Linked DNA regions of Elephas maximus indicus. The protein of the gene in region 4 interacts with the protein of the main gene of each other region in a biochemical or structural test. Links are inferred from orthologs where the notes say so. Each region holds a gene or a part of one and is shown on either strand. Other genes may lie near its edges.

Region 1 (7,564 bases), on a different chromosome or scaffold from region 4:
TAGTATTGTATTAATACAAAAAGAGTTTAACGTCTTGATTGCCTGAAAGGGCATCAGGGACATCTAGGCACTATGCCATTCTATACTTGGTTAGTTTCCTAGAAGTGAGATTACTGGGTCACTGGTATGTGCATTTTAAATTCTGATAAATTCTGCCAAAGCTCTCCAAAATGTCTGTACCAATTTCTACTACTTAAGATTGCATGACCATGATTAATTAAAAAGTAAAGAATTCCATTTTTAAATCCTGACTTTAAGAAGCACCATAAGGTAATGGATTACCCTATTTGCATATCTAAAACCAATGTTAAAATATAACTAATGTTTCAAGGCAAAGTAAAATCCAACTACCCAGATTTAGTTAGATGAGGTGAATACCCGTCTGTAAAAAATTTAGTTAGATGAGGTGAATACCTGTCAACTACAAGTTCACTGAGCAGAGGCCTTTGTTTACTTGCATCATCCATTGTTAAGAAGTATTTGTGACAGAATTTCAAAGTACGTGTCACCTGCACATATCTTATATTTGCTTACAGGACTGGTGGGCTCAATGGATATTTAACATAAAACGCACAATACAAAAACAGCAGGCTGCAACAGCACTGGCCTCTGTTACAGACGTCAGTTTAAACCAACCCTTAGCTTTAATTTCACACAGAATTACTGGAAGCGAATGGTATAATTTGTACTGTCGGCATTATGTTCACAAAAACGTGAAATACAAACTATTTTGCCCAAAAAGTCATTCCCAACAGAGAGGGAGGAGGATGAACGCTCATTCAATGGGGAAAGGTTTATTCCTTCCGCTAAGGCAAAATAACTAGACGCTGTGTATTCTCAGTTCACAAGGAATGCTGCTTCCCCACTTGATTTTTCCCACATAGCTCCAAAGTGAGCTACTTACGACTGAAAAGGTCAAGGATATTAGTGTCAACTAGGTTTTACAATTCTTAAGCTTTTGGGGAGCACAAGCCACTTTGAAATATGATAAAAAGCTCTCTGTAGATAAAAGCACAGACAGCCCAGACATGTGTATGCACCTCAGGTGAAGAGCCCATGCCCTAGATTAGAGCAGAATCATAAAACTATGGTTCCTAAGAAACCACCGAAGTCCAACCCTCAGGAAAACTGAGGCCCTGGAACCACATGGTAGGGCTTGTCCAAGGTCAACAGTGAATTGAAATCACAATCAGGAAAGGCATAAGCAATTCAAAGAGATTTTGAATAAAACCATAGCTTTTTCTTACACAAAGAAAGTTCAACCAGAAACTAAGACTACAGTAACAGAAGCTTTAAGCAGTACTGGAATGAACTAGCACGAACACTATCCAAAAGTTCCTTGATGACCTAAGCTGCAGACATAAGGAAAAACACAACTTCAGGAACCTTAAAAAGCACTCACCATGTTCCACAAAAACATTGCAGTGTGGACCCCCATGCCTCGATGATTCCTTCTTCCCTGCTCCTTTGATAAAGTGCAGGGCAGGCAAACTTGGCCTTCGTTGGTCCCCAAGAACTTTTCCAGGCTGCTGCCCCATAAAGTAATGCTAGGCACCCAGAAAAGGGTTCAAGGTCTTCCAGAACAGTCAGTAAGCTTAAAAAGAAAATGGTATATATGTGGGATTTCACATTCACCGCATCTCCACAAGTCAGTAATTGAGGTCAATCACAAAAAGACACCTTCCAAAACAAGAGTGAAGCACAGTTCTTAGGTTGACTCTTGTAAACAGGAGTTCCAATAATTTTTGCGGTTAATCAATTTGAAGTAATGGAATTGTAATGTTACCCAAAAGTTTGACTTTAAGTGTCCTTTACTGACTGAATATCAACGTCTTTCTTTTCAAGAGGAAAAACTTAAAAATATTCACAGGGAATGTTGTAAAGGGTCAACAATACTAAAGTCATTTGAACTCCCACATGTAAAGGAAACGTTGATCTTCTTTAGATGCTCCTCCAGAACTTTTCCTGTGCAAGTCACCCACCCCCTATCTTAGTTTCTTCATCGTCCAACAAATTTCCTGCCGAACTGGCTGCTGCTCCCGCTTCTCTACCCTTCTGTCCGGAAAAGGACACGGATCACCCAGATTTCAGCGAGAGCTTGCCCTTCACTCTGTCGAGAAGGAATGCATTGCCAGCAACTTTTAAGTTCGCTTTTTAAAAGGCCTGTGAAACCAGTCCAGACTTTTCCTTTGCATTAAAGTTTTTGGCTGGGCTGAGACCGAGGGGGCCGTAGGTGACATTGGAAGTCAGGGCATTAGAGGCTTGCAGGAGCAACCTGGGGGGAAGGAGAGGTCACTTGACAGCAGAGAGGGAATCTGAATCTGGGGGGAACTCCACGGCCAAACCTGGAACCGGGAATGGGAGCAAGAGGCGGCTTGGGAGTAAGGAAGCTGCCGGGTCGGGGCACCGGCGGTTTACTCCGGGGCGATGCTCCTCCACCTCTCAGTAAACGGGGTGTTTCAGGTCTGGGGGGGAGCAGAGGCCACCCCCAGTACCCGAGAAGCCCGGACGGGCTGTATGGGACTAAGTACCCTCGCGGCCCCGAAGTCGGAAGCCGGTGTAGGGGCTAAGGAGGCCCGGCCGCCTCAGCTGCCCCGAGCCTAGGGGGCTCAGCCCGAGACACCCCCTCCCTCGGCCCCGGACGTTGCCACGGCTGCCGCCGCCACCAGGCAGTCACATCCCCCGAGTTCGGCCGCGGAACCCAGCCTCCCCCCGCCGGGAGGGGCTGTAGACAACGGAGGGGCTCCTCAGCTGCAGGACCCGGGAACCGGCTCCGGCTCCAGCGCTGCTCAGGGAAAGACATCGACCCCCGCGGCCGCCATGATGGATTACGAGCAGCTTCACAACGAGGCCAGGCTCCACCCCTGTCCCCGCCCCCTAGGGCTTCCGGAGCGCGCCTCTCAAAGACCGGGATGCCCCTGGACCAGCTTTCGAGGGACGCCGCCGCACTTTCCGGCTCTGGTCTCGCTGCCTGCGAGAATCTGGACCAACACAACCTCTTAGAAGTGGTTTATTCTGAGGGGCAAGGTGAGTAGTAAGGAAGCACCCGCCTCCTTTGTACTGCCATTGGTTCCCGAGAATCGGGGTCAGGCCTCTCTCCTCCATCCCATTGGCCAGAGGTGCAATGGTGCTAGAGCTCCCAACCAACCACTTTCGATGTATTCCGCAGGGCAGGCCGGGAGTTGTGGTTCTGCGAAGCCCGCTCTTGTTGGCCGGCACCCGGTACTTCTTGCCCTTTGCTCTCAACTCCTGAGCTTCGGTCCCGCCTTCCTGGGAGACCGTGGACTAGATGGCCTCGCGTAGGGCTGGCCAATGTCTCCCCTTCGCAAGTAATAAAACCGGCGAAGAGCCAAAGTAAGGGGAAAACTGCGGATTGGATTATCCCCCGAACCGGAGTTGGATTACTTCCTTAAGCTTCTTTAGGGGAAAAAATTTGGCTTGCTCCTGGAAACGAAGACTATTTGGTGCCTTTTTCACCTTTCCACCCAAATTTCCACCTTTTCCCCAAGAAGCATAAATATTAGAGCTAGTGAAAAATATAGCTGGAAAGCATCCGACGTATTGCTAACGAATGCAATTGTTTGCTTTCTCCGGGTATCACGAGGCTCACTCATTTAACAAACTGCAGTTGTTAAGCACCTCTCCAAGGCTTTGCCAGGCGCGTTCAAAGATGTTCGAGCTAGAATGAACCTTTAAGAGTGAACAACCTCGTTTCACAGATGAACTCGTATACCCATAAAAATATCCATGTTAGCTGAGGTAAAGCCCAGATCGTTGAGTTTCGCAGGGCTGCGGGGCTAATTAGTGACCCAGACACACCAAACACACCTGTCATAACCCATCTTCCGCAACTGAAAAGCACCCTGGCTCCCTATCCCTGTCTCCTCAAAGCATTGCATGTGGTCGGGATGTACTCATTTCTAAGGAGATCTACTTATCACAGCGCCTACTCTACGCCCAGCACTGTTACTAAGCACTTTTCATCAACTGCATTTTCACTTAATCCTCATTACAGTGCAATAATGCGTGGAATATTACTCCCCATTTTTTCACTATCAAATAACTGTTGATGCAATACTAAACAATAGATTTTTCAGAAGTTGCTGATTAGGGGGAAGCCACAGCCCCATTATAAGTGTTGTACATTCCCCTGCTATATGTAGGTGACACATTAGCCCAACAAATGAGTTATGTATTCTAGAAATATTTTTGCTGGAACGTAAAATGGTGCTGTGATTGCATAGGTATTACCTTCAGGGGGAAAGGAGTCACTTGGAGGTGAAGCTATGAAAACATGTGCCTAGATTTCTAACTAATGTACAAATTCAGATGTTAATTGGCTTAGCTTTGCTGTCGCAGAATATCTGACTGACGTCTAGTGTAGCAACTTTTGAGTCATTCTTCAAATTTTAACACCCTTGGTCCCCTTTATTTTCCCATAATCCTGATTATTCCCCTCCCCCCTCCCCCATTTTTGTTTTTGGAAAATTTGTTTTGATTCCTATTCATGCTTTACTCGTTTCCTCCACATCTTCATGTATCTTCATTCTCTAATTTAGCTTAAATTTGGGCAATCAAATCAGATCCAATACATGTTCCTTGAACAGTTTATTTACCATTCATTGAACAAGCATTTCTTGAGCACACATGATGTGCCAAGCACTGTTCTAGGAGCTGGAATACAGCAGTGGGGGAAAAAACATACTTGTCCTCATGAAGCATACATGGGAGAAAACCAGACCCAGTGGCATCGATTCCGACTCATAGCGAAGGGACAGCAAGTACACAAAGTAAGTAACAAACCCAAGTATCAGTCTCAACCCACACTCTAAAGAAGGGCTTTATAATACCTCTCTAAACCTTAAATATGTATCTTATTCACAATTGCTAATGGGCTTAAATCACTTTAATTCTCTCCATCTATTTCTTCGCCTATGAGTGGGGGTCCTATTTGCTTACTTTATGAGGTTATCATGAGGATCATCTTAGATACTGTTTGATTTTCCACAGTAAAAGACTGAGACCATGCTTCATGATAGGCAATGTAAAGATCAACTGCACTTCACCTAAAGGCTTATTACCGCTAATGTCCATTTTCCACTGCTTGTTAGTTTTAGGTGAACCCCAAGCCCAGGCTGTAATATTTTTCTCTAGAGAGGCACTATATTTTTTTACTTCCTGTATAGCACTACAGAATGATACTTTTGAGGACTGAAAGTTGGATCCAGAGCCCAGCAAATATCTGTCAAAAGCAAATAAATGTTACCAAATGTTGACTAAATCCCTTTAAGCTCAAAGCCTTTTCATAAACAATGATTTAGTTGAGTCTAATTTTGTTCTCGCTTTTATAAAGCAAAGCAAACCCACTAGGTTGCTAAAGAAATTCAGCACCAGTGTAAAATTTTCAGCTTTTTTAAACTTACTGAAATTATACTTAACAAGGGTGCCCTCTAGTGGGCCACAAAAAATAATCACCAAAAGGTGCTTTCAAACCTTCTATTAATTTCCACTTAATAGGCAATCACGATTCAACACTGAATGAGCAGCATAGGCCTGGCACCTTGGGAAAGACCAAGTGATAAGGATAAACTTTCAGTGAGCTTTCGCTATGGCCCTAGTCAAAACCAAAACTGGCACTCAGACACCAACCCTCCTGTTCCCTTCTAACAAAAGGCTTAAGGCCTGGAAATTTTTCTCAAAAATACAACAAATGAGAAAATCTAAAGTTAAAGCATAGCCTATAGAATCTTGATGAGTCTGCAAACTCATGAAAACCAGTGATACAAGGTGGGGTAGAAAAAAAGTGACATAAGAAGTTGCCCATTGAGTAATAAGAGGAAAAAAATACCATTTAATGAGATAGGGCGAATCTGTACTTCACATTTTTCAAGCGCAGTGCAGTGTTCAAAAGTTACTGCCATTGAAACTAACATAAGGCCAAATATTATTAGGTAACCCAAGTATAGTCAGGAGCTGTCAGAAGGAACTTATATTCACTAAATCCTCCTGTTATTACAATTATTACACAGAACACAAATCAATGGTGTTAACACCACCTTTGTAATATAAAAAAGTAGTTTACCACATATTTGAAATAAACAGCCCTTTAAAACAGCGCCTTTAAAAAATGTTTCCCAACAACCTAAATCAGGGCACCATTTTTAGGCAGTCGTCAGAAAAAACAATCCCTCGGTGAGAACATCAACACCTTGTTTTTATCTTTTAACCTCAAATTAATTCAAAAGTAAATGCATTACTTCAATGACAGGAGGAAAACAGCTTTTCTTTTTCTATCTGTTTTTCTTACTTTGTTTTCTTCATGTTTGTCACAACACCCAAAGGTACATGGATCCAGAACATTCATTCTCTCTGCTGTCGATAATAATTCAGCTTCTTACGACTCACCCCTCAAGGCAGGACAGAGGTTAAGGGGCGGATATATTTTCAGCCATCACTAGAAAAAACATTCAATGGGAAATAAGAGTCAAACCAAGCGAACAACGGCTTGGTTAACTTTATTATTCCATTTGACTGCTAGATTAACTGGAATGTTGTACTTGCACTTTAGAGCTGGAAATAGAGACAAAGACACTTTGGGGGTCAGAGATGCCATGTGTTTTATAGGGGCAATTTCATGGGGTATTGTGCACTTTGAATGATGGTGAGTGGAAGACAAAGGATCCTCCACATTATTCCAGGATGGAAGTCCATTTCGCTGGAACTCTGCACGCTTTCAAAGACCTGAAACTACCCCCTAGTGCTGGGACTCAGCCTACCAGAAGGGCCAGAGGCACTGTTCACCTCTCCACCCAGTCCTCTCTTAGAAGGAGGAAGCAGGTATGTAGGCTGGTGGCAGCCCACAGCTGTTGATGCACATCAAGTGATGAGTTTCTCAGCTCTTTACTGGGCTGCACATGGGGACCATCAATTTGATTCTTCACTTTCTAGAACGGCTTCAGCCAGGTACAGACAGTCCTGTCCTGCAGGTGCCTCTCCTTATCCTTCCTGTTCTAACAGCCTCTGGCGCGTTTCCATCACAATTTCTTCCATTATCTCTGGCTTTAAGATGTCTTTGATCTGAAAAAAGGAAAAAGGCATTTGACAGAAAAGAAACCAACCATAAGCAGATCACCAAGCCAATCCAAACTTAGAAACCAAACACAGTTAATATAAACCTTCTGTATGCCTTTCCCTTACAGAGGCTAAGTGTTTCAAGATATGATCTGCTAGAATTAGCTTAATACATCAGCAAGATTCTATGGGATATAGCTGACAAGAACAACTATTCTGACATTCATTAAATTTGGGATGGGCAAGATGAAGTCCAAAGGGTTGCTGTCATAAACTAATCCCATCTGGAACGTCCATCTCCCTAAATCTTCAGGTTGATACTTTTCTTGTTGTGTGCCATTGAGTTGATTTTGACTCATAGCAACTCTATAGGACAGAGTAGAACTGCTGTAATCTTCATGAGAGCAGATTACCAGGTCTTTTCTCTAGCAGAGGGGTTGGTGGCTTTGAACCATCAACCTTTCAGTTAGCAGCCAAGGGCTTAACCATTACC
Region 2 (7,129 bases), on a different chromosome or scaffold from region 4:
CGTATTTTTTTAAGCAGCTACCTATAAAGGGATAGAGGAAACAGGAAAGGGACAGGGTTAAAAACAAGGCTTCTTTGAATGTACCTTGTTTTGTAGGAATGATTTTGAAGTCATGAGAATCATGAGACTGAATTAAATCTAATTTGAAAAAAGACAATTCCCTAAAATCAAAACCACACAAAGCAAAACGAAACATTTCTAAATGTAACTCAAGTTGGTGATCAACCACTCAAAGAAGCATGATTTCAAGAGACTTTATAACACCAAGCCCTGTGCCATGGAGTCAATCCCGACTGATATAGATGCTATAGGACAGAGTAGAACAGGCCCCCATGGTTTCCAAGGCTGTAATTTAAACCAAAAAATCAAACCAAACCCAGTGCCGTTGAGCCAATTCCGACGCTATAGGACAGAGTAGAACTACCCCATAGAGTTTCCACGAGCACCTGACAGATTCGAACTGCAGACCCTTTGGTTAGCAGCTGTAGCACTTAACCACTACTCCACTAGGGTAATTTAAACAACAAAAAATTTTTATTGTGCTTTAAGTGAAAGTTTACAAATGGAGTCAGTCTCTCATACAAAAATTTATATGCACCTTGCTATATACTCCTAATTGCTCTCCCCTTAATGAGACAGCACTTTCCTTCCCTCCACTATTTTCGTGTCCATGCAGCCAGCTTCTGACCCCCTCTGCCTTCTCCTCTACCCTTCAGACAGAAGATGCCAACATAGTCTCATGTATCTACTTGATCCAAGAATCTCACTCTTCACCAGTATCATTTTCTATCCCGCAGTCCAGTCCAAATCCCTGTCTGAAGAGTTGGCTTTGGGAATGGTTCCTGTCTTGGGCTAACAGAAGGTCTGGGGACTTGTCCTCTGGGGTCTTTCTAGTCTCAGTCAGACCATTAAGTCTGGTCTTTTTATGAGAATTTGTGGTCTGCATCCCACTACTCTTCTTTTCCCTCAGGGGTTCTCTGTTATGTTCCCTGTCAGGGCAGTCATCGGTTGTACCCGGGCACCATGTAGTTCTGGTCTCAGGCTGATGTAGTCTCTGGTTTATGTGGTCCTTTTTGTCCCTTGGGCTCTTAATTACCTTGTGTCTTTGAAGTTCTTCATTCTCCTTTGCTCCAGGCGGGTTGAGACCCACTGATGCATCTTAGATGGCCGCTTGCTAGCGTTTAAGACCCCAGAAGACCGATGCTGTAATCTTTATGGAAGCAGATTGTCACATCTTTCTCCTGTGGTTTCAAACCACCAGTGTTTTGGTTAGCAGCCAAGTTCTTAATCACTGTGTCACCAGGGCTCCTTCTTTATGATACAGTACACTATAAAGAAGTACATCCTAGTGGGAGATACCCTATTGCAAAAAGAACTCCAAAAAAATTACTAAACTTTCCAGTTATTGTATTGTTAGTAATAACATTGGTATTTTTATTCTGAAGCTATTAGATACATATTGTAGAATAAAGCAAATAAGTTGATAGAAAGCAAGACTTTCAGTATAACAGAAAAGATACACAACTGTAAATTTTTTTTAAATAAGAAAAAGCTCTAAAATTTAAATTTGAATCAAAAATATTCGTATGAACTCATGATACAGTTTCTCATTAAAAAAAATCCTACTTCCTGGCTCTGTCCACTAAAGAAAGTCTACAATGACCAATCGAGTGGCAATGTGTGCCTCTGGTGACAGCTTGTGGTCTCTAACTACCATATCCCACTAAATGGAACCAGGGCTCCTCCTGGAGGAGGAAATACACATGAAGAGCCTGGGACATCATGACGAAGCAGATGGGAAAGAGATTGTCAGGCACTCCTGGGTCATGTCAAAAGGACTCAGTAGTCAGCTTGTCAAGGCTCCCACTGGCCACAAATCAGACACTTGGAGCATAAATAAGAATAACTGAAAAGAACTGGAACACATGAATCCCACTGAAAATTCGTATGTTCGTAATGGTGGTCAGAAAAGGATAAAGAACCCCACGGTCACCTTTGGGTGACACTGGGGGACCAACTCGTTATACTGAAAACAGACAAGTAAACAGGAAGAACCTCAGGGTTAACAAATGGGAGGGGAGGGGAAGTTTCTTTTTATAAGAGTATTCTAGCCAATAATGAGGAAGAAATAGCGCCATTTTGAAAACCCTTAAAGAAATAATGGGTCTAGTCAATGATCCCCAGGCCGCTAGCATCACAAACAGGAAGACACAGGATATTATATATTTTCTGATGAAAGTACAAGACACCACCTATCAAATTATTGTCAAAGAATTTCACCCAAATCAGACTAAGTCTAGATCTAACTACCAGTTTACGAGAAACAGTAGGGACAGAAGAGCATTTTAAAAAATATCACAGGCATATAATCAGGAAAATCCAGAATGTGGGGAATTCTATAGGACAAATGATTTGGTTTCTTCAATGAAAAATTTGTAAGGAAAAAAACAGAAGGAGAGAAACCTATAAATTAAAATAGGCATACCAACCAAATGCAATGTATAAATCTTGTTTGGAAGTTTGAATATTTACTAGATACTTAATGGTATAAAAGAATTGTTGACAATTCATTTAAAAAAAAAAATGTTAATGGTATTGTGGTCATGTTTAAAAAAGAAAGAGTTCTTATCTTTTAGGAATATGTACTCAGATGAAATGATGGAATGTTTGAGGTTGGCTTTAATCTGGGAGAGGAAAGGGGGCTGGATTAGATATGAACAGGATGGGCCATGAGTTGTGGATTACTAAAGGTTGGTGATAGATACATGGGGGCTCATCATCCTATTCTGTCCGTATACTGAAATTTTCTAGCGTATGAACTTAAAAAAATAAAAATGCAGTGTGTTAAGTCAGAGGTGCCCTGGTGGCACAATGGTTAAGTGCTCAGCTGCTAACCAAAAGATTGGCAGTTTGAGCCCACCCAGATGCTCCACAGGAGAAAGACTTGGCGATCTGCTTCCATAAAGATTACTAACTATAGCCTTGGAAACCCTATGGAGCAGTACTACTCTGTCCTATAGGGCCTTTATGGGTCGGAATCGACTCGACGGCACACAATGGCAACAACACATTAAGTCAATGGCTCTCAACATAAGGCAGGGTCTGAATCTACCTGTGAAGGACACCTCCCTCTCCTGATCCTACTGAGATCTTCTGTCCTAAATACTTCTCTAGAAAACTGAGTTGGTTTTTCCAAAATTGTTCACTGCAGCTTGCTTGCTGATGGGGAAAATTTGTTGTAAGCTCCTGGCTAGGTGACAAGCATATTTTTCACTAGGCAAAAAAAAAAAAGGCAAGAGAGGAGGAATTTTTTAAAACTCTTTTTATTATAAAAGTATTATGTACATCCCACTAAAACATACACACAGTAAAAAATTAAAAATACAGAAAAAGTCAAATCACTCCTCCTACCTAGTTCTACTCCCCAAAGGCCCCACTGCTCCAAGTTTCTGTAATTCTCTCCAGACCTTTTCCTAAACATATACAAAATTAAAAATAGCCCTGGTAGCACAGTGGTTAACCGCTCGGCTGCCAACCAAAAGTTAGGCGGTTCAAACCCACCAGCCACTCTGCAGGAGAAAGATGTGGCAATCTTCTTCCATAAAGATGCACAACCTCGGGAACCCTACGAGAGTGTTCTGCTCTGTCCTGTGGGGTCACTATGAGAGTTGGAATCCATTCGACAGCACACAACGTACAAAAATAAACAGGATTTGAACCTTACTGTAAATACTGCTTGCAACTAGCTTTTTTTCCACTCAGCAGTATAGCTTCGAGATCTTTCCATAGTAGCAAATACAGGGTCTTTCTCTTTCATATTCCATTGTATGGAAATACTATAATTTAGTTCAGATCAGTCTCTAGTTGGCAGGCATTTTCTCCAGTTATTTCCTCTTGCAGACAGTGTTGCAACGCACCTTCTTGTACACACATAGGAAAGGAATTTTTTGAAAATCCACATCTCCTAAGAAAACCCCTCCCTCATTCTTCTAGAGAAAGTGCTCCGTGGCATGAAGCAATCACACGGCAAACCTCTTGGACCTGACCTATGACTCACCAGCCACCCAATGCTGGACAGCTGGAGGCTGAGCCATCAGGAGCTTGCCTGGCTCCTGGAGGCAAGCAGAGACAGGAGTGCCCGCAGCTCTGAGGCGCTGGGCTTAGGGTGGTTGATGGATCCCTGAATCCCCTCATGCACGAAGCCTGAGCCTGGGAAAGTTCAAACATCAGCACCAAGAGACTCACTTGCCCACTGTGATTAGGTAAGTCCTCTGGCTTTAAAGGATTATAGGGCTAAAGGATGTTTAAACTGAGTGTGATTCACCTGGATACAGCAATGGTTCCATTGGCGGTATGTTTAAAGTGAAGAGACTGTAAAATGCTAATGTTGATCAATGCCTTTGAGGGCCACAGGGTCTCAGTGCCCACCAACTCCTCTGGTTACCCATGCTGATTGAGTAGCCAGAAAAAAAAAAAAAAAAAAACCAGAGTAAGTTTTTATTTCAGGATATTCTTTTTTGAAGTGTGGTTTGTGTTTTATCCTCTGGAAGTCTTCTATGTCAGCAAGACTTTTATTTCCTGCTGTGTAGGGCTTTATGTGGGGTGTCTCTTGCCAGATTTCAGAATTTCCTGGCAAGGAAGAGAGGCAATTTGAGTTACCCGGACGCAGAAAAACACATTTCATTTCAAGAGAGCTTTTCAGGTGTCACTGAAGATGTGCAAGAAACTGGATTAAAAGCTATAAAAAATGCTCTTTAGAGTAGAGAAACTATTAGAGTACGGCTCCTGGACACCCTTATATCTCAATATTGAAGTCACTCCTGAGGTTCACTCTTTGGTCAAAGATGAGACAGGCCCATAAAACAAAATGAGACTAAATGGCCACACCTGCCCAAGGGCAAGGATGAGAAGGCAGGAGGGGACAGGAAAGATGGTAATGGGGAGCCCAAGATCGAAAAAGGAGAGCGTTGACATGTGTGGGGTTGGTAACCAATGTCACAAAACAATATGTGCATTAATTGCTTGCTGAGAAGCTAGTTTGCTCTGTAAACCATTTAAAGTACAATAAAAAGATTTTTTTTTAATGTTCTTTAAAAAGTATTCTCCAGTTGACGCTTTGGTGAAGCTCTTGGCACGCGATCTCCTGAATGGGAAACTCTGGGCAGTTGCTTTGCCAAAGAGACATTTGTTAGACCATAGGGACAGGGTTTGGAAGATGGTCAACTATCTCAGTCCAGACTGTGTGGGGCTTCCTTTCCAACTTGGACAATAAGTAGCAGGGCTCAGAGCAAAATGCACAAGATTTGGTTTGTTTCTCCTAAAAAAAAGTGCTTATGGTGCTTGTAGTTTGAAAAGTAGATGAAGGTTTTACATAGCTTCCCTCTGAAGAGCATATTTTGGAGTTGCTCTTTATTTTTCTTAATTTCTTTTGTACAATTTGGCCAGTCAACATTTATCAGAAGGCAAAAAAAAAAAACAGTTGCTATCAAGTTGCTTCTGGCTCATAGTGACCCCATATGTTTCAAAGCCATAGGCTTTTCAATGGCTGTGATCTTTTCAAAGCAGATCTCCACATCTTTCTTCCTAGTTGCCTCTGAGTGGATTCAAACTGATTACCTTTCAGTTGGTAGCTGAGCATTTAACCTTTTGTGCCACCATCAGAAGACAAGCTTATGCTTATTTTGAAGGGACCAATGTTCTTGCTGTTCTGACAACCTGATGCTTCAAGATGGCATCTGATTTAAGAATAATGGATAGTAAGAAAGCATTGCATTAGTGGAACTTGAGGTAGGGGACTAAGTGAGGAAGGAGGTAACAGGCTGTGGGGAAAGTGTTGTATCTTGCGGTGACTTTGGAGATCAAATGAGTTCAACCTGGCCAACCAACTGGAAGAGATCCATGTTTATGCCTATTCCCAAGAAAGGTTGTCCAACTGAGTGCAGAAATTATCGAACAATATCATTACTATCACATGCAAGCAAAATTTTGCTGAAGATCATTCAAAAGTGGCTGTAGCAATATATTGACAGGGAACTGCCAGAAACTCAGACTGGATTCAGAAGAGGACGTGGAACCAGGGATATCGTTGCTGATGTCAGATGTATCTTGGCTGAAAGCAGAGAATACTAGAAAGATGTTTACCTGTGTTTTATTGACTGTTCAAAGGAATTCAACTGTGTGGATCATAACAAATTGTGGATAACATTGGGAAGTACGGAAATTCCAGAATAGTTAATTGTGCCCATGAGGAATCTTTACACAGATCAAGAGGCAGTTGTTCAGGCAGAACAAGGGAATACTGAGTGGTTTAAAGTCAGGAAAGGTATGCGTCAGGGTTGTATCCTTTCACCATACCTATTTAATCTGTATGCTGAGCAAATACTCCAAGAAGCTGGACTAGATAAAGAAGAACAGGGCATCAAGATTAGAGGAAGACTCATTAACGACCTGCGTTATGCAGATGATACAGACTTGCTTGCTGAAAGTGAAGAGGACTTTAAGCACTTACCGATGAAGATCAAAGACCACAGCCTTCAGTATGGATTACACCTCAACATAAAGAAAACAAAAATCCTCACAACTGATCCAGTAAGCAACATCATGATAAATGGTGAAAAGACTGAAGTTGCTAAGGTTTTCATTTTACTTGAATCCACAATCAATGCCCATGGAAGCAGTAGTCAAGAAATCAAATGATGTATTGCATTAGGCAAATCTGCTGCAAAAGGCCTCTTTAAAGTGTTAAGAAGCAAAGAAGTCACTCTGAGGACTAAGATGCCACTGACCCAAGCCATATATTTTCAATTGCCTCATGTGCATGTTAAAGCTGGACAATGAATAATGAAGATCAAAGAAGAATTGACGCCTTTGAATTGTGGTGTTGGTGAAGAATATTGAATATACCATGGACTGCCAGAAGGACGAACAAATCTGTCTTGGAAGAAATACAATCAGCATGCTCCTTAGAAGCAAGGATGGTGAGACTGCGTCTTACATACTTTGGCCATGTTGTCAGGAGGGATGAGTCCCTGGAGAAGGACATCATGCTTGGTAAAGTATAGGGTCAGCGGAAAAGAGGAAGACCCTCAACGAGATGTATTAACACAGTGGCTGCAACAGTGAGCTCAAG
Region 3 (7,503 bases), on a different chromosome or scaffold from region 4:
AAATTATTGCTGTCCAAGTGGTGGATATTCATTGTACAATTCAACTCTTCTGCATTTTTGAAATTTTTAACAGTAAAATACTGGGGAAAAAAACAGGCAAATTTGAAATGTTCACAGACCAGAGTTATATTTAGCTACTAACAGTTGAAGATGCAAGTGTTTTACCTAACAAAAGCCTAAATCATTTCTTCTACATTACAGACATCATCAACTTCGAAATGGTGCAGAGCTGCACTAACTGTAAAAAAAAAAAACTGTACGCTAAATAATTTTAGATGGTGTACAGGTGTCCCCCGCTTTTCGAACATTACCTTTACGCCACTTTGCTTTTACAAGAGACCTACATTACAGTACCTGTCTTCAGTAATCAAAAGAAATCCCAAGAGGATTTTCGTTTTAAAAAAAAGGCGAAAAGCAGAAATAGCGTCCAGCGTTTGTGAGCTATTAAAAAGGCAGTGCGCACCCCAAGCAGCAGGGAGAGTGGCACCCTCAAAGCTCCTTTCGCAGTAACGGCTTGACCAACCTCGTCCTTCAAACTCCTCCACCTTTACTTAAGACCCAGCCATGTTCAGTCAAATGCCTGGTGACTTATAAACGCACCATGCACCTCGAAATCTCACCCAGGACTTGTTCCTTGTACATTTCCTTAACTGTAGGATTCAAGCCTCCGTAAGCACAGTTAATATAAATCCCACTGTTCTGTAGGATTTGAACCCCGGCCCTTCAATCCAGCCATTGCCACCTAAGCTGCCGGGGTTACCATCATCACCACCACTTCGTCTCAGCCTTCCGGCGTGCTCGCTGTCTTCCCGATTCTGGCAAGAGAAACTCCACTGTACGTAATTTCCAATTTATATACCCAATAAAACCCATTGCCGTGGCTGTGTATTTATCATATCATCCTTGCTTTTACTATACGTTAGTGTTAAGTCTTCTGTGCTACTTGGGATGATTTGGTAGGTTATTTTTTGAGCCTTGGAATGCTCAAAGCTTTTTCCCATATAAATTAATGGTAACTGCTTCTTTGCTTTACGCCATTTTGGCTTATGAAAGGTTTCAGAGGGAACGCTTTTCTTTCAGCAGGGGAAACCTGTATATTGACTGCCGTAAGCATCAGAGCAGAAGAAAAAAAGATCTTCACCAAAAGTCTTCACATAAGAAACAAAGAAAAGGTTCAAAGTGTGCCTGTGTACTGTCTTTAATATACTCCCAGTACATTTGGAAACATATTTCCTTTGGCTCACAGTGCTGGAAGAAATGACTTCCTAGATTACAAAAGATACACTTACCCTTTCTTTGCATTCTTCCCACTGAAACGTGTAGCTCTCACAAATCCATGTTCCTCTGAGTCGGAATCGACTCGACAGCACTGGGTTTGGTTTTTGGTAAAGTCCACATAGGCTTACCAGGACTACAAGGCACTAGTGAAGCAACTGTATTTTGCAATACATTTTTGTTTAATCCTGTTTCGTTCCATTGCTTAAAAAGTATTTCTAGTCTTTAATCACTAAAATCTATCCTCTTATTGATTTTACAGCTACACTTTTATATATGGTGACTCCATTAGAGAAACTATCTTAAACTATTTGGAGGAAGGGAAAATAGTACTTCATCTTTAGCGCAGTTTATGTCAAAACGTAAAATCGCTATACGCAGATTCTTAATAAAAAAGATTAAAACTTCACTTTAACCATTAAGGTATAAAACACGAAAATGAAGTTACCAGCCTTAACGAATTATTAATTTTGTATTGCTGAGCACTAAATACGAAATTGACAAATGTACAAAGTAAAAAAGCAACCACCTAACAGTAAATCCCTTTGTGAATGAAGTACCCTGACCCTACCAACACCAGCCCAATTAGCATGTTTCAGAGAGTTGATCCTAAGGGAGACTTGAAGCCAGAAATTGACTCAAAGCCTCGAAACACCTCCCCAGTCCCGAATGGCAGAGAGAACGGAGCAGAAATTGCCCCTTCACCCGAGACCCCCACTGTACTAGCTTCACACATATGAGTCTCTTATCTGGAACCACGGGGAACACCAATGGCCAAGACAGGAGGGAGGAGGGAATAAAAGTGGGAGATGAACTTGGCACATGGGAGGAGCATGGCTGAATACTAAAGAGGGGTCACGGAGACTGCAAGGCCCCAGAGCTGGGAAGGGATTAACAGAACACCTCGCAGTCGAGGGTGTCCGCCCCAAATGGAGGGCGGTGCCGGGGAGAGGAGCGCGCACAGTAAAGGTGGTACAGGCGTGATGGGCGGTGCCCACAGCGCTCCAACACTACCCCACATGCCGCAGCACCCCAATCCCGCCGCGGGGAGGGGCCACCCCACCCGCCACCACCCGTTAGCGCCGGCACCCGCCCCCTCAGCCTCCGGGTCCCGGGTTGGTGGGAGGGGCGGGCCTCGAGGGGCCGGGTGTGCAGCCCGGCCCAAATCCCAACCAGGAATGTTCCGCCGCTGGCGGGAGGATGGGCGGGCGACCCCGCAGGCTGAGGCGGGAGTGGGGGTGGCTGAGGGCAGAGAAGAGTCCTCCGCGCCGTCGCCGCCGCCGGGGCCGATTCCTAGTCGCCCCCCTGCGGGCGGGAGGTATTGCCCCGGCTCTTGGCTTGCCCTCCCTTCTCTTACCCCCTCCCCAAGAATTACCCCGCGCAACAGCGCCTGCCGCTGGCGGCGCGAAATGCACCTACCTAGAACCTGACAAGCAGGAGCCCCTCAGACAGGGGAGACAGTCGCCACCCCGCGTCACGGTGGCCGCCGCAGCCAATAAGCGCCGCTGTCACGAGCCTCTGCGGCCAATCCCACTGCACTCCGGTCTCCGGGCACCCTAGAGGCCGCAGCCAATGGATGCAGGTGGAAGGCGGGCGCTGACGCCCGGCCCTCACACCCCCTCCTCACCACCTCCCAGGAGGCGGGGCGCGGCCGATTGGCCTGAACTGCGGAGGGGGCGGGACTCAGGCGCCGGGCCGGGTGGGCTCGCGCAAAGCCGGGGGCAGCGGGCGCGGTGAGGGGAGGCGTGGAGTCGCGGCCGCCGCCTTCTGGGCCCGCTCCCGGGTCCGGGTGGGGTCCCGAGGTCCGCCTGCTCGAGCTGTTCTGTCTGCCTCGGTAACCTGCTTCTCTCTAGACTGTGTCCTGAGCTGCCAGGGTGGGAGTGAGGGTGGGATGAGTCTGGAGACTGACGGCGGCGTCACAGGAAACTTCGGGAGGCTCGCCTGGCCGCAGCCGGAAAGTGGCCGGGCTGGGGGTGATAAGCTGGGCCTCCTGGAAGGGAGTACCCGGCGGGTCCGCGACCGGAAAGGAATTCGGACGGTGGGGGCGGAGGCCTGATTAAAATGTTAAGTGTGCCCGCAGGGTGTTGGGCGAACCTGGGAAGGGAAGCTGTTTGGGGCCGCAGACCCGCTAGTCCAGATACGCACTTTCATCCTCAGAATCAGTCACTTTTTCCTATACTTTCCAGTATTTTACTTGCTTCGGTTTTATAACGTTGATTGCTATAGGATGGTTTCCCGCGTCTCCAGTAGATTCTTCGGGGCCGTGGTGGCGCAGCGGCTAGGCGTTTGGCTGCTAAGCAAAAGGTCGGCGGTTAAAATCCACCAGCCGCTCCTTCCAAACCATATGGGGCAGTTCTACTTTGTCCTATAGGGTCGCTGTGAGTCCGAATCGACTTGAGGGCAACGGGTTTAGTTTGGTAATGGATTCTTGAGTCCTTTAAGAGGAACCATTTCTGTATTCCCAGTGCCTAGGACTGTGTCTAAAAAATACTAGATTTTTCAAATCTGGAATTGTGATGGATGCCGTTAAAAAGCCTACAGCAGGTCCTGTGAATGGCCTCTTCAAGAATCTAGAATGCCTGAAGGACCCAAACTGGTTTTCTCTTCCAGTGAGAGTTATTTCTGAAGTAGCCTTCACTGAAAGAATTAGGTGGGAAATGAGTAATGTGAACTAAACGAAGATAACCGGGTGATCTGTAAAAGTATGATAGGTGGTAGTCACTATTGGGGGTGTGACTCTCCTCTATTGTAGCAGGCTTTTTTAGGCGTTGTATCCTGTGAGTTGGGTTGAACCACATTCTTTTCCTGCAGCAGTCTAATGTCAATCCCATCTCCACACTTCCGCTGAAAAACTTGAGTTACTAGGAACCAAAGAAGAGTGGTAAATATTTTTTCTAAATAGGGTTATTTATTTTACCATCTGAACAGCCCTAGACATAGAAAGACGTACATAAATTTTAAGTTGGACTTTTCTTGTCTACTGTTTTAAAATCAAAGAACCCAAAATATTGAGACTATGAACTTAAAATGATTACTTTTTGGTTTTTAAATAGTTCTCTAAAATGATCTCACATTAGGGGTATCTTATCCCTGAACCACTAATAAATTTCAATAGAAACAGAAATTATAATAAAGTTAGTATTTGGCCTATATTTTGTAGTGGCTGTTAACTGCACAACCTAAGCCATACGTATTGTTTTTGGGTGCCGTCGAGTCTGTTCCAATTCATAGCAACCCTATGAACAACAGAACGAAACACTGCCCGGTCCTGAGCCATCCTTGCCATGGTTGTTATGCTTGAGCTCATTGTTGCAGCCACTGTGTCAATCCACCTCATTGAGGGTCTTCCTCTTTTCCACTGACCCTGTACGCTGCCAAGCATAATGTCCTTCAGGGACTGATCCCTCCTGACAAAATGTCCGAAGTATGTAAGGCTCAGTCTCGCCATCCTTGCTCTTAAGGAGCATTGTGTTTGTGCTTCTTCTAAGACAGATTTGTTCATTCTTTTGGCAGTCCATGGTATATTCAATATTCTTTGCCAACACCACAATTCAAAGGTGTCAGTTCTTCTTTGATCTTCCTTATTCATTGTCCAGCTTTCACAAGCATATGATGTGATTGAAAATACCATGGCTTGGGTCAGGCGCACCTTAGTCTTCAAGGTGACATCTTTGTTCTTCAACACTTTAAACAGGTCCTCTGCAGCAGATTTACCCAATGCAATGTGTCTTTTGATTTCTTAACTGCTGCTTCCATGGCTGTTGATTGTGGATCCAAGTAAAATGAAATCCATGACAACTTCAGTCTTTTCTCCGTTTATCGTGTTGTTGCTCATTGGTCCAGTTGTGAGGATTTTTGTTTTCTTTATGTTGAGGTGCAATCCATACTGAAGGCTGTGGTCTGTGATCTTCATTAGTAAGTCCTTCGAGTCCTCTTCACTTTCAGCAAGCAAGGTTGTGTCATCTGCATAACGCAGCTTGTTAATGAGTCTTCCTCCAATCCTGGTGCCCCATTCTTCTTCATATGGTCCAGCTTCTCAGATTATCTGCTCAGCATACAGATTGAATAGGCATGGTGAAAGAATACAACCCTGATGCACACCTTCCCTGACTTTAAACCAATCAGAATCCCCTTGTTTGTCCGAACAACTGCCTCTTGATCTATGTAAAGGTTCCTCATGAGCACAATTAAGAGTTCTGGAATTCCAATTCTTCGCAATATTATCCTCAGTTTGTTATGATCCACACAATCGAATGCCTTTGCATAGTCAATAAATACAGGTAAACATCCTTCTGGTATTCTCTGCTTTCAGCCAGGATCCATCCGACATCAGCAATGATATCCCTGGTTCCATGTCCTCTTCTGAAACCGGCCTGAATTTCTGGCAGTTCCCTGTCTATATACCATATGTATTAAACCCCTTAAAATAGAAATTTGTTTCCTGTGAACATTAAGAGTGGTGGTATATGGTATGTTAATATGAATGAAATGAATGAATATTTGTGAATTAAATAGGTAAAGCCAAAATTCGACTTCTCCCAGCCAAACCTGCTGCCATCAAGTTAATTCCGACTCATAGTGACCCTATAAGACAGAGCAGAACTGTCCCATAGAGTTTCCAAGGAGCACCTGGTGGATTCTAACTGCCGAACTTTTGATTGGCAGCCATAGCACTTAACCACTATGCCACAACTTCATCAAGGCTTGCCTTTCCCAAGAACCCTAGACTTTTTCCTTATCCTTACACAAAGGGAATCTAGAAAGATGTGGTTGGTGAATTATTACATATTTGCAGAAAGTAGCTTTGAATAGGAATAAAGATATAATAGTGAAGATAGAGCTGTTTAATATGTCTTAGTACTGCTGTAACAGAAATACCAGAAGTGGGTTGCTTTAACCAACAGGTTTATTTTCTCACAGTTTAGGAGGCTAGAAGTCCGAATTTAGGTTGCTAGGTCAAGGGGAAGGCTTTCTTTCTGTGGATCTGGAGAAGGGTCCTTGTCTCTTTTCGGTTTCTATTCCTAGATTCCTTGGCAGTCATGCAGCATGCATCTTCCCCTCCTTTTGTGCTTGCTTGCTTGCTGAATCCGCTGCTCTTTTATATCTCAAAAGAGATTGACTGAAGACACACCCTACACTAATACTGCCTCATTAACATAAAGAAAACCCATTCCCAAATGAGATTATAACCACAGGTACAGGATTTACAACATATATTTTGGGGATACACAACTCAATCCATAGCCATATACACCCTGTGTGTTTTTTAAGGAACTCAGATCTCTGAAGAGAATAAGCATCTTTCCAGTTCTTCGGCTATTACTCAGTTCTTACCAATTCACTCAAGAAACTACTTTGTACAATGTGTTGTACTAGGAAATGTAATTTTAAATGAATACATTTGAAAGAAATGCATGTGGGGAGAATCTATGGTGCATTTTTGAAACTGAAAAAAAAAAATCATAGCAAATTCACTTTAATTTTTTCCCTGTTGTATCACTCTGAACTGCACCACATTTAACAGCACTTTGTTTCTCCTAATTTCAGATAAACTGTGCAACCCCTTATATCTGTAAATATAGGGAGAATATGGAAGAATGAAAGAAAATAATTCCTGTCTAGGTGATCCATGGGCCTCATAAAATACTAAGCATCTCCACAGGGCCTGGAGGGACATGAATCTCAGTTGGAATTGTTAGCATAGCATTTAAGCAATCTGTCTTCTATCATTAAGATTTAGATCTATACCAGGTAGTACCGTGGCTTTGAAATGTCACAGTACTACCTAGGTATATAAAAAAAAAAAAACTAAAAAAAAAAAATTTTTTTTTCTTGCAATAAACAAATAAGTCCTTATTTTCCCAAATGCCAATTTTTATCTTTTCTAATAACCTTATTTACTTGGACAAATGAATATAATAATGTAGATGTAATAAAAACTGATTGAAAGTTTTTAACTTTTGTTGGTTAGTACCACCCATCCCTCTTACGATGTCTCCTATTTTCCTATTTAAAAGTTTCTTACATGCTTCAAGATGAATTTTGGTTGGGTATCATCTGTCCTCATAATATCCCTCCCTGTTTTTCTGAATCTGGGCCCCTTCTCTTTTCCTTCTTTCTGCTAACCTCCTTGCTTTGTGACTCTGCTCTCTCTGATCCACAGCTCATACCTAACTAGTTGCACATACCAATCCTAAAATGGAGATGATGATGAGATATACAATATGG
Region 4 (7,689 bases):
ACTGACAAAGGGGTTCATGAAAAGGCCTTCTCAACATGGCAATCCTCACCCACACTAGGGGAGAGTCTAGAATAGAGGTACGGGAGGCATGTCAGTCTCGGGGTTCCCTTTAACTTGTAAGTATGAAGGATATAGGGGCTCCAGGAAATGGTGGACCTTGAAACCTTGCTCCTGTCTCTTTCACCTGGCTCGGTGCAAGACTCTGTTGTGTGTGTGTTTGAGCGCATGTGCTCGTATGTAGATACCACCTGTTCCAACCACCCTTCCCTGAGGCAGTGTCAGCTTAGTGGGAGGCAGGAGTGGGAATGGAGGGAAAATGGTGAAGCCCCAGCCCCTCCTCTTAGATCTACCCAATTCTGACCTACTGACCTTGGAGGGGCTCCCCTTATCTATCACTCCTGGGGGGGGGGAGAGGTTAGGGGAGCAGTGGGGGGGGGGGGTAGATGTAGGCTCAGAAGAAGGGTAAACAGGCCAGGAACTCCCAAAGGAGCCTGGGTACTTCAGGGTCCTTGGGCTGAAAAGAGACTAGGAAGGTTAGTCATTTCAGCCCCACCCCAACCCCCTTCCTGGCAAGACACCCCCTCTTCCAAGTCAAGGCGCCAATCCTTGTCCCCAGATAAGGGAGGAGCCAAGATCTCTGCATACGGAAGTGGTGTGTGTATGTGTGCACGCACGCACATGTAGGCCCACACATACAAACATGTTTATAGCTCCCCTTCAATCTATATGAGTTCTGCCCTTGGGTTTTCTTATTGGGAAGTATTTCAGGTGTCCCATCCACCGCCAAGTGCGCATATGTGTGTGTGCAGACTCTGTGTCTATGCTTGGAAGGCTAGTTGTTAGAGTTCCATCTCCAGTTCCCTGCCACCCTGAGGGTAAAGTCCATATTACACAAACAGGGAGCAAAGGGCCTGGGCAGGGAGAGGGACGAACAACATCTCTGGGGAGAAGCCAGACAGCTTGAGGAGGGGGACAGGGAGAGAGGAATTTTACAAAAATCCCTAACTGTCCCACAGGGCCAGGGTGATAGGAAGGGTCAGTGTCACAAGCTCTCCTTTGGTAGAGTGAACTGGGTGTGGGGCAGAACAAGAACCTCAAGCCCCTCCTCAACCAAGGGCCTCCCCTCTAACATCCCCCACCCCCATCACAGCCATCATAGCTGGGACAAAGGGGCTATAGAACTGAGACAGGGCCGGATGCCCAGAGGCTGCAGAACCCAGATAAAGGGTAAAGAGACCCAACCATGCTTGCCTCCTGCCTCCCCCAGGGAAGGGGCCAGAATCTGGGACTCCTGGGTTACTGCTTGAAAATTCCAGGGGTCTGGATGGACCAGTGATAGTCACTTCGCTCCTCCCTCCCACTCCAATCCCCAGACCCCCCCCCCCCACCAGCTGGGAGTGTTCATATCTCAAGATCCCAGGGTCTAAATTTAGGCCCAGCAACTGTGGGGGAAGCACAGGTGTTTTCCCACTCCCACCCTGGGGAAGGGGCCCTGGCTGTGCCACACACTGCAAGCTGGTATCTGGGAACAGGAGAGGAGATCAACAGGACTCCTCCAGTTCTGGCACCCCTCAGGTGTCTGCGGTCCCAGAGACACCCCCAAAAAGAGATTAGGTGGCACTGGGGGGAAGGAATAGAGATGAGCAGTCTGGGACTCTTTTCTCCTGGAGTCAAATAAACGAAACTGGGTGAGGAGCTGGGCCTGGGAAGGGCTCTCCAGGGCAGAAGCCTCAGAAGGTGGAAGTAGGGCATTCTTGGCCTCAAGTTGGGGAGAGAAAAGACAAACGGAGAAATAGAGGCTGGAAGCCCTTGTCCCTACAAAGTTCCTGGCCTAGGGTCTAGTATATGGTAGATGCTCGATAAATACTAGTTGAATTGAACTGGGTCTTGCCAAAAAGAAGTTGGCCTCGTAGGGGACCAGCCAGCTTTATTATTTGGAGGGAAAGCGGGCAGCCAGGGTGGGCTGGGCCTCTCACCCTGCTGTCACCTGGACTTGGCCCTCTGGTTAATCTCAGACCTCCCCGGGGCAGGCCACTCACGGAAGAGGAGGTGCAGCTCCTGTTTTCCAACACCAGAGAACAACAACCACCATCACCTCCCCTCCCCACCCCCAATCCTCCCGTAGCTCCGCCCTGTCGGCAAAACAACGAAACTGGAGGTTGCTGAAACTGGGGGGTAGAGACTCCCCCTCCCCCCCGAAGATCTCTACCTCCAATCATCTCCTTACTCTTACGGAATGGAGGTTCCGGCTCCTCTCCCTGAGGGTCCCTCAGAAGTGTGAACTACTGTTTCGCCGTCAGTACCATCAGGGGAACGAATTAGAGGGTCGTTGGCGCGCTAGGGAGAAGGGGGCCCAGGAAGCCGGTCCCTGACCGGACCACGCCGAGAACCCAAGCCACCAAACCTGACCGTCCCCTCCCAGGTGATACCCGCGGAGTCGGGGTCAGAAGCCTCAGCCTCGCACTGTGCGAGACTCGGCGCCTCACACCCTCAGTGGCTCCGCGCACGGTTCGGATCCCGGTTCCGAGTTGGCCAGTGCTTCCCCGCCGCTTACCTGCCTGCGAGCTGCCCACCTCGGAGCCCCGGGCCAGGCTGAGAAGGAAGCCCAGCACCTGCAGAGCCCCGTTCGCCCTCATGACTCCAGCGGAGGGTGAGGGGAGCCCAGCCAAGTCCGGCCCGGGGGCCCCTGGACTAGGACATCGAGGCAGGAGCCACCTGACCCGCCAGCGAAGTGATAGTGGCGGCGGCGGCAGCAAATTACCACCCGAGCCGGAGCCGGAGTCCTGGCGGGTGGCAGAGGAGGGGTGTGTGTCTGTGAGAGGAGGGAGGGAGGGCGCGCAGGGGAGGGGGTGAGTCACGGCCGCGCCCCCTTTCGAGCCGGGCTGGAGGAGTTTGCTGGAGTCTCCGACTGATTGCCCGCCCCGAGCGCGCCCCACACCTCGGCAACTCCGGGACTCCCTCTTCTTCGCCAAGCAGACGAAGAAGGGGTCTCACTCTAACTTTCCTTCCGGAGCTGGGCTACGAAGGCGGAGGTCAAGATTCCAGAAGCCCCCCAAATCCCCGGAAAGGTAATGGGGGCGGGGAGAGAGCGCCAAAGCCCGGCCCCCTGAAAGCTGGCCTCGCCCACTAACCAAATCACTCATCTCCCCTAGCCGGTTGGATCACTTGAGGATTTTCTCTCTGGAGTGAATATTTCTCTCTGTGTGTTTTTGAGGGGGAGGGTGTTGTTTGCTTCACGCTTAGGCCACCTCAGTTTCCCCCGGCTCAAAACCCCACAACTCATCCCCCCTGCCCAGGAACCCGAGCCCAGAGGCCGCGTGAAATTGCACTGTCTCCGGCCGCTTCCTTCTCCAGACCCGGCGCCGGCTCGGCCTCTCCCGGGGATTTGGTTGGGGGGCGGGGGTGGTTTCCAGCCTGGGAACAGACCCCAGAGCCCGCTTTCCAGTTCCACCCTGGGAGGGGCTCCCGCACCTGTCGCCGTCCCCTCTGCTGCCCCCCACGGCCGCCTGGGAGAACAGCTGGCGCCCCTTCCACACTGGAGTCTGTGACCTCGCCGACGGGGCGGCCGTAGCTCTCGCCGGTCGGCTGGGGACCCATATGGGCACACCTCGCCACAGGCGCTCACACCCTCCGGCGCCTCCCAAGCCCGGGCTCGCACTGGAAAGAAGGAAGGGGCAATAGAGACTGCGTCCGTGAATGGCATGGATCCCTGGCACCTCTCGCACCAACTCCCGGATCCAGACCAGAGGCGGTCGGGTGCACCGAGGGTGGCTGCCCAAGGCTGGGCCAGGCCCCTCGACGCACCCAACTGGCGCCCCCTGGTGCCCACCAGCCCCACACGGCGTAGATTTCAGTCCCAGAGATTGGCATTCCGGGTCTTAAACGGAGAGTCGATTTTATTTTCCCCAAAGCTTCAGGCTTGAATAATCAAGAACAATTGTATCTTGATGAAGAAAAATGTCGCCCCTCACCCCAGGCCAAGACAACGGGCTAAAACTTCTCAGACTTTCTCTGTCCACTTCTAGGGCGCTGGCCTCGCCCAGACCACTCACGTGACGGTGGTACTGTAATTGCGACAGCACAAGCCTTTGACATATACAAACATATACCACTTAATTTGTAAAACATTTCCTCAAACTCAGTACCTTAATGAATGTTTCACTTAACAGAAAAACTATACAAACTAGGTGACATTTGTTCCCTTTTTTCACAGAATGGAAAACGGAAGTTCTAGAAACTCGTGATTTATCTAGAAGAATCAGGACGAGGGACTCAGGTTTTTGACTAGGATTTCTTATGCAATACTGAGATTCAAACTCCCATCAGATAACTGAGCTAACATCACTTAGGAATTTCCATCCCTACTTACTCTCCCCCAGATTAGAGGACCTTCTATCGCTCACCACCTCAACCTAGGTTTCAGGGCCCTGGCTGGAAATTCTTCTCATTTTTGGAATATTTCGGACACTCTTAGTTGAAATGTTACCCTAATTTGCAAATCATATATTCAGTAAATTTCAATCAGTTCCTATTGTTGGCTTAATAATATGATTTTTGTTTTAACACACTTCAGACTGGTCTTTCTCGCTCTTTCTCTCTCTCTCTCTCTCTTACCCTAGTGTCCTGGGATTAGGTCAGACACGCTGGAAGGACTCTATGCTTCTTCATGGTCTGTCGGACTCAGCCGCTCAGAGCCCGGCCTACACAAATCAGCTCTGTACTGCAGCCCCTGCTGGCTCATGGCCCCTGTGGGTTCTGTAATTCTCTATAAAGGCTCACAAAATCCACAGAGACTATGACTTGTACTTACATATACTTTATCATAACCTGAAGGAATGCAAACATAGAGACACATTAGGCAGGGTCTGAGAGAGGTCCCAGCATGAGGCTTCCATTGTCCCCAAGGACATGCAGCACCCTCTCCCCTGCGTGGATGTTCTCACCAATTCTGGAATCCCCAAAGAGAGTTCCAAGGTTTAGAGTCCCCTAGTCACTTTTTTTTTTTTTTTTTTAGTCACTGGGACCTCAATGAATGTGCATGTATCAAATTGGAATATGCATTATTGAGGCCTCAGTGCATCATTTTTATCAGTTCAGTCAATGAGTGCGTCACGCCCCTCTCTTCCTCAGGTCTCTTGCCAGGTTGGGGCCTGGGTAGTCCCCTACTTTACACTTGTTTAAATGTGGCTGGGCTGTTTTAGAAAGACAAAGAGTACCTTAATTGCTCAGGCTATTTTTGAAAACCAGAAACAAAAGGCCAAACAGAGTTCCTTGTCCTACATTCTACTGAACAATTGGGCTGGACTCTTTAAACGTGCCAATGTCATAAAAAAAAAAAGTCAAGAGAATCATTTCACGTCAAAGAAGATCAAAAACACAGAACCAAATGCAATGAATGATCCCTGATTGATCCTAGATTTAAAAATAACAACAATAAACCCAGCTAATTGCATATGGACTGTCAGGCAATATTATTGCCTCAGTGTAGGAGGCTTGTCAGAATTGACCATGTCTTTTACTTTTCCAGTGAAGCTCAAGTGCACATGTTCCTCCACCATGTAAAGACCCAAGGGTGATAAAACGGGAGGAGAGTTGGAAGAGAGGTCTAGATGGAGCAAAAATGGGAATTCTTATTGAGGTAAGGATGCAATCTGAATGGGGAGGGTAGAAATGGTGAGTGATTTACATACTTTTCACAGTGGGGAGCTGAGTAGCACTGACCCACTGGAATAAAAATAGGCTCCTCATATAACACATAAACTAGGCCCACCTACTCACTCGCTCACACCGAACTGCTGAGCCTGGGATCACTGGGCTTGAGTAATGACTTACGATTGGGTCTCTGGTGAGACTCCCTGAAGGAGGGTCCGCTGAAGTCAGTCTGTAGAGGGGGCCACCTAGTCTGAAATGCTGTAGTCAGCAAATCAGTTCAGGAAGTGATGAGGTCTTCCCCCCATATCAGGCCATGATCTCCTTAGCCAGTCAATTCCTGGATAGACTTTTAGATGTATGACTGATGGGTTTCTTTCTCCAGCTGACTTCTAGAAACCTTCGGATCCCACCATGCAATGCATAGTTCCCTGGAAAGGCCCCCTATCAGGGCGCTGTTGTTGTGTGCCATTGAGTGGATTTTGACTGATAGCAACCCTATATGATGGAGTAGAACTGCCCTATAGGGTTTCCTAGGCTGAAATCTACCAGAGCAGATGGCCAGGTCTTTTTTCCCATGGAGACACCTGTGGGTTCGAATCACTGACCTTTTGGTTAGCAGCTGAGTGCTTAACCACTTCGCCACCAGGGCTCCTTGACAGGGTGCTGTTGTTGTTAACGTGCTGTCGAGTCGGTTCTGACTCATAGCGAGCGACCCTATGCACAACAGAACTAAACACTGCCCGGTCCTGAGCCATCCTCACACTCGTTGTTATGCTTGAGCTCATTGTTGCAGCCACTGTGTCAATCCACCTCGCTGAGGTTCTCCCCCTTTTCCGCTGACCCTGTACTCGCCAAGCATGATGTCCTTCTCTGAGACTGATCCCTCCTGACAACATGTCCAAAGTATGTAAGACGCAGACTCGCCATTGTTGCTTCTAAGGAGCATTCTGGTTGTACTTCTTCCAAGACAGATTTGTTCCTTCTTTTGGAAGTCCATGGTATAGTCAATATTCTTCACCAACACCACAATTCAAAGGCCTCAATTCTTCTTCAGTCTTCCTTATTCATTGTCCAGCTTTCACATGCATATGAGGCGATTGAAAGCAACATGGCTTGGATCAGGTGCACTTTAGTCCTCAAGGTGATATCTTTGCTTTTCAATGCTTTAAAGAGGTCTTTTGCAGCAGGTTTGCCCAATGCAATGCACCTTTTGATTTCTTGACTGTCGCTTCATGGGTGTTGATTGTGGATACAAGTAAAATGAAATTCTTGACAACTTCAGTCTTTCTTCCGTTTATCATGATGTTGCTTATTGGTCCAGTTGTGAGGATTTTTGTTTTCTTTATTTAAGGTGTAATCCATACTGAAGGCTATGATCTTTGATCTTCATCAATAAGTGCTTCAAGTCCTCTTTACTTTCAGCAAGCAAAACTGAATCATCTACATAACGTAGGTTGTAAATGAGTCTTCCTCCAATCCTGATGCCCTGTTCTTCTTCATATAGTCCAGCTTCTCCGATTATTTGTTCAGCATACAGATTGAATAGGTATGGTGAAAGAATACAACCCTGGCGTACACCTTTCCTGACTTTAAACCAATCAGTATCCCCTTGTTCTGTCTGAAAAACTGCCTCTTGATCTATGTACAGGTTACTCGTGAGCACAATTAAGTGTTCTGGAATTTCCATTCTTTGCAATGTTATTCATAATTTGTTATGATCCACACAGTCCAATGCCTTTGCATAATCAATAAAACACAGATAAACATCTTTTTGATATTCTCTGTTTTTAGCCAGGATCCATTTGACATCAGCAATGATAACATTTGTTCCACATCCTCTTCTGAATCTAGCTTGAATTTCTGGCAGTTCCCTGTTATACTGCTGCAGCTGCTCTTGAATGATCTTCAGCAAAATTTTACTTGTGTGTGATATTAATGATATTGTTCGATAAGTTCCGCATTTGGTTGGATCACCTTCCCCGGGAATAGGCATAAATATGGATCTCTTCCAGTTGGTTGGCCAGGTAGCTGTTTTCC

The links.
Region 1: the proteins of ERBB3 (region 4) and ABL1 form a complex in vitro, tested with the Homo sapiens proteins (2 studies listed by BioGRID and IntAct, with this or other methods). The link is inferred for Elephas maximus indicus from reciprocal best matches to the Homo sapiens genes ERBB3 and ABL1.
Region 2: the proteins of ERBB3 (region 4) and BCAR3 form a complex in vitro, tested with the Homo sapiens proteins (2 studies listed by BioGRID and IntAct, with this or other methods). The link is inferred for Elephas maximus indicus from reciprocal best matches to the Homo sapiens genes ERBB3 and BCAR3.
Region 3: the proteins of ERBB3 (region 4) and FER form a complex in vitro, tested with the Homo sapiens proteins (2 studies listed by BioGRID and IntAct, with this or other methods). The link is inferred for Elephas maximus indicus from reciprocal best matches to the Homo sapiens genes ERBB3 and FER.

Annotation. Positions count from the first base shown.
Region 1 is NC_064827.1:81,646,111-81,653,674, reverse strand, and holds the start of ABL1 (tyrosine-protein kinase ABL1), read right to left. Parts: upstream 3,008-7,564; 5' UTR 1,539-3,007; coding exon 1,403-1,538; intron 1-1,402. UniProt on the Homo sapiens protein: Non-receptor tyrosine-protein kinase that plays a role in many key processes linked to cell growth and survival such as cytoskeleton remodeling in response to extracellular stimuli, cell motility and adhesion, receptor endocytosis, autophagy, DNA damage response and apoptosis.
Region 2 is NC_064821.1:148,353,862-148,360,990, forward strand, and holds the start of BCAR3 (breast cancer anti-estrogen resistance protein 3), read left to right. Parts: upstream 1-4,123; 5' UTR 4,124-4,262; intron 4,263-7,129. UniProt on the Homo sapiens protein: Acts as an adapter protein downstream of several growth factor receptors to promote cell proliferation, migration, and redistribution of actin fibers.
Region 3 is NC_064820.1:117,901,528-117,909,030, reverse strand, and holds the start of FER (tyrosine-protein kinase Fer), read right to left. Parts: upstream 2,963-7,503; 5' UTR 2,695-2,962; intron 2,594-2,694; coding exon of another isoform or gene 2,259-2,593; intron 1,494-2,258; exon of another isoform or gene 1,290-1,493; intron 1-1,289. Other genes in the region: translation initiation factor IF-2-like, read left to right, coding at 2,259-2,593, 2,963-3,109. UniProt on the Homo sapiens protein: Tyrosine-protein kinase that acts downstream of cell surface receptors for growth factors and plays a role in the regulation of the actin cytoskeleton, microtubule assembly, lamellipodia formation, cell adhesion, cell migration and chemotaxis.
Region 4 is NC_064822.1:116,043,068-116,050,756, reverse strand, and holds the start of ERBB3 (receptor tyrosine-protein kinase erbB-3), read right to left. Parts: upstream 3,001-7,689; 5' UTR 2,637-3,000; coding exon 2,555-2,636; intron 1-2,554. UniProt on the Homo sapiens protein: Tyrosine-protein kinase that plays an essential role as cell surface receptor for neuregulins.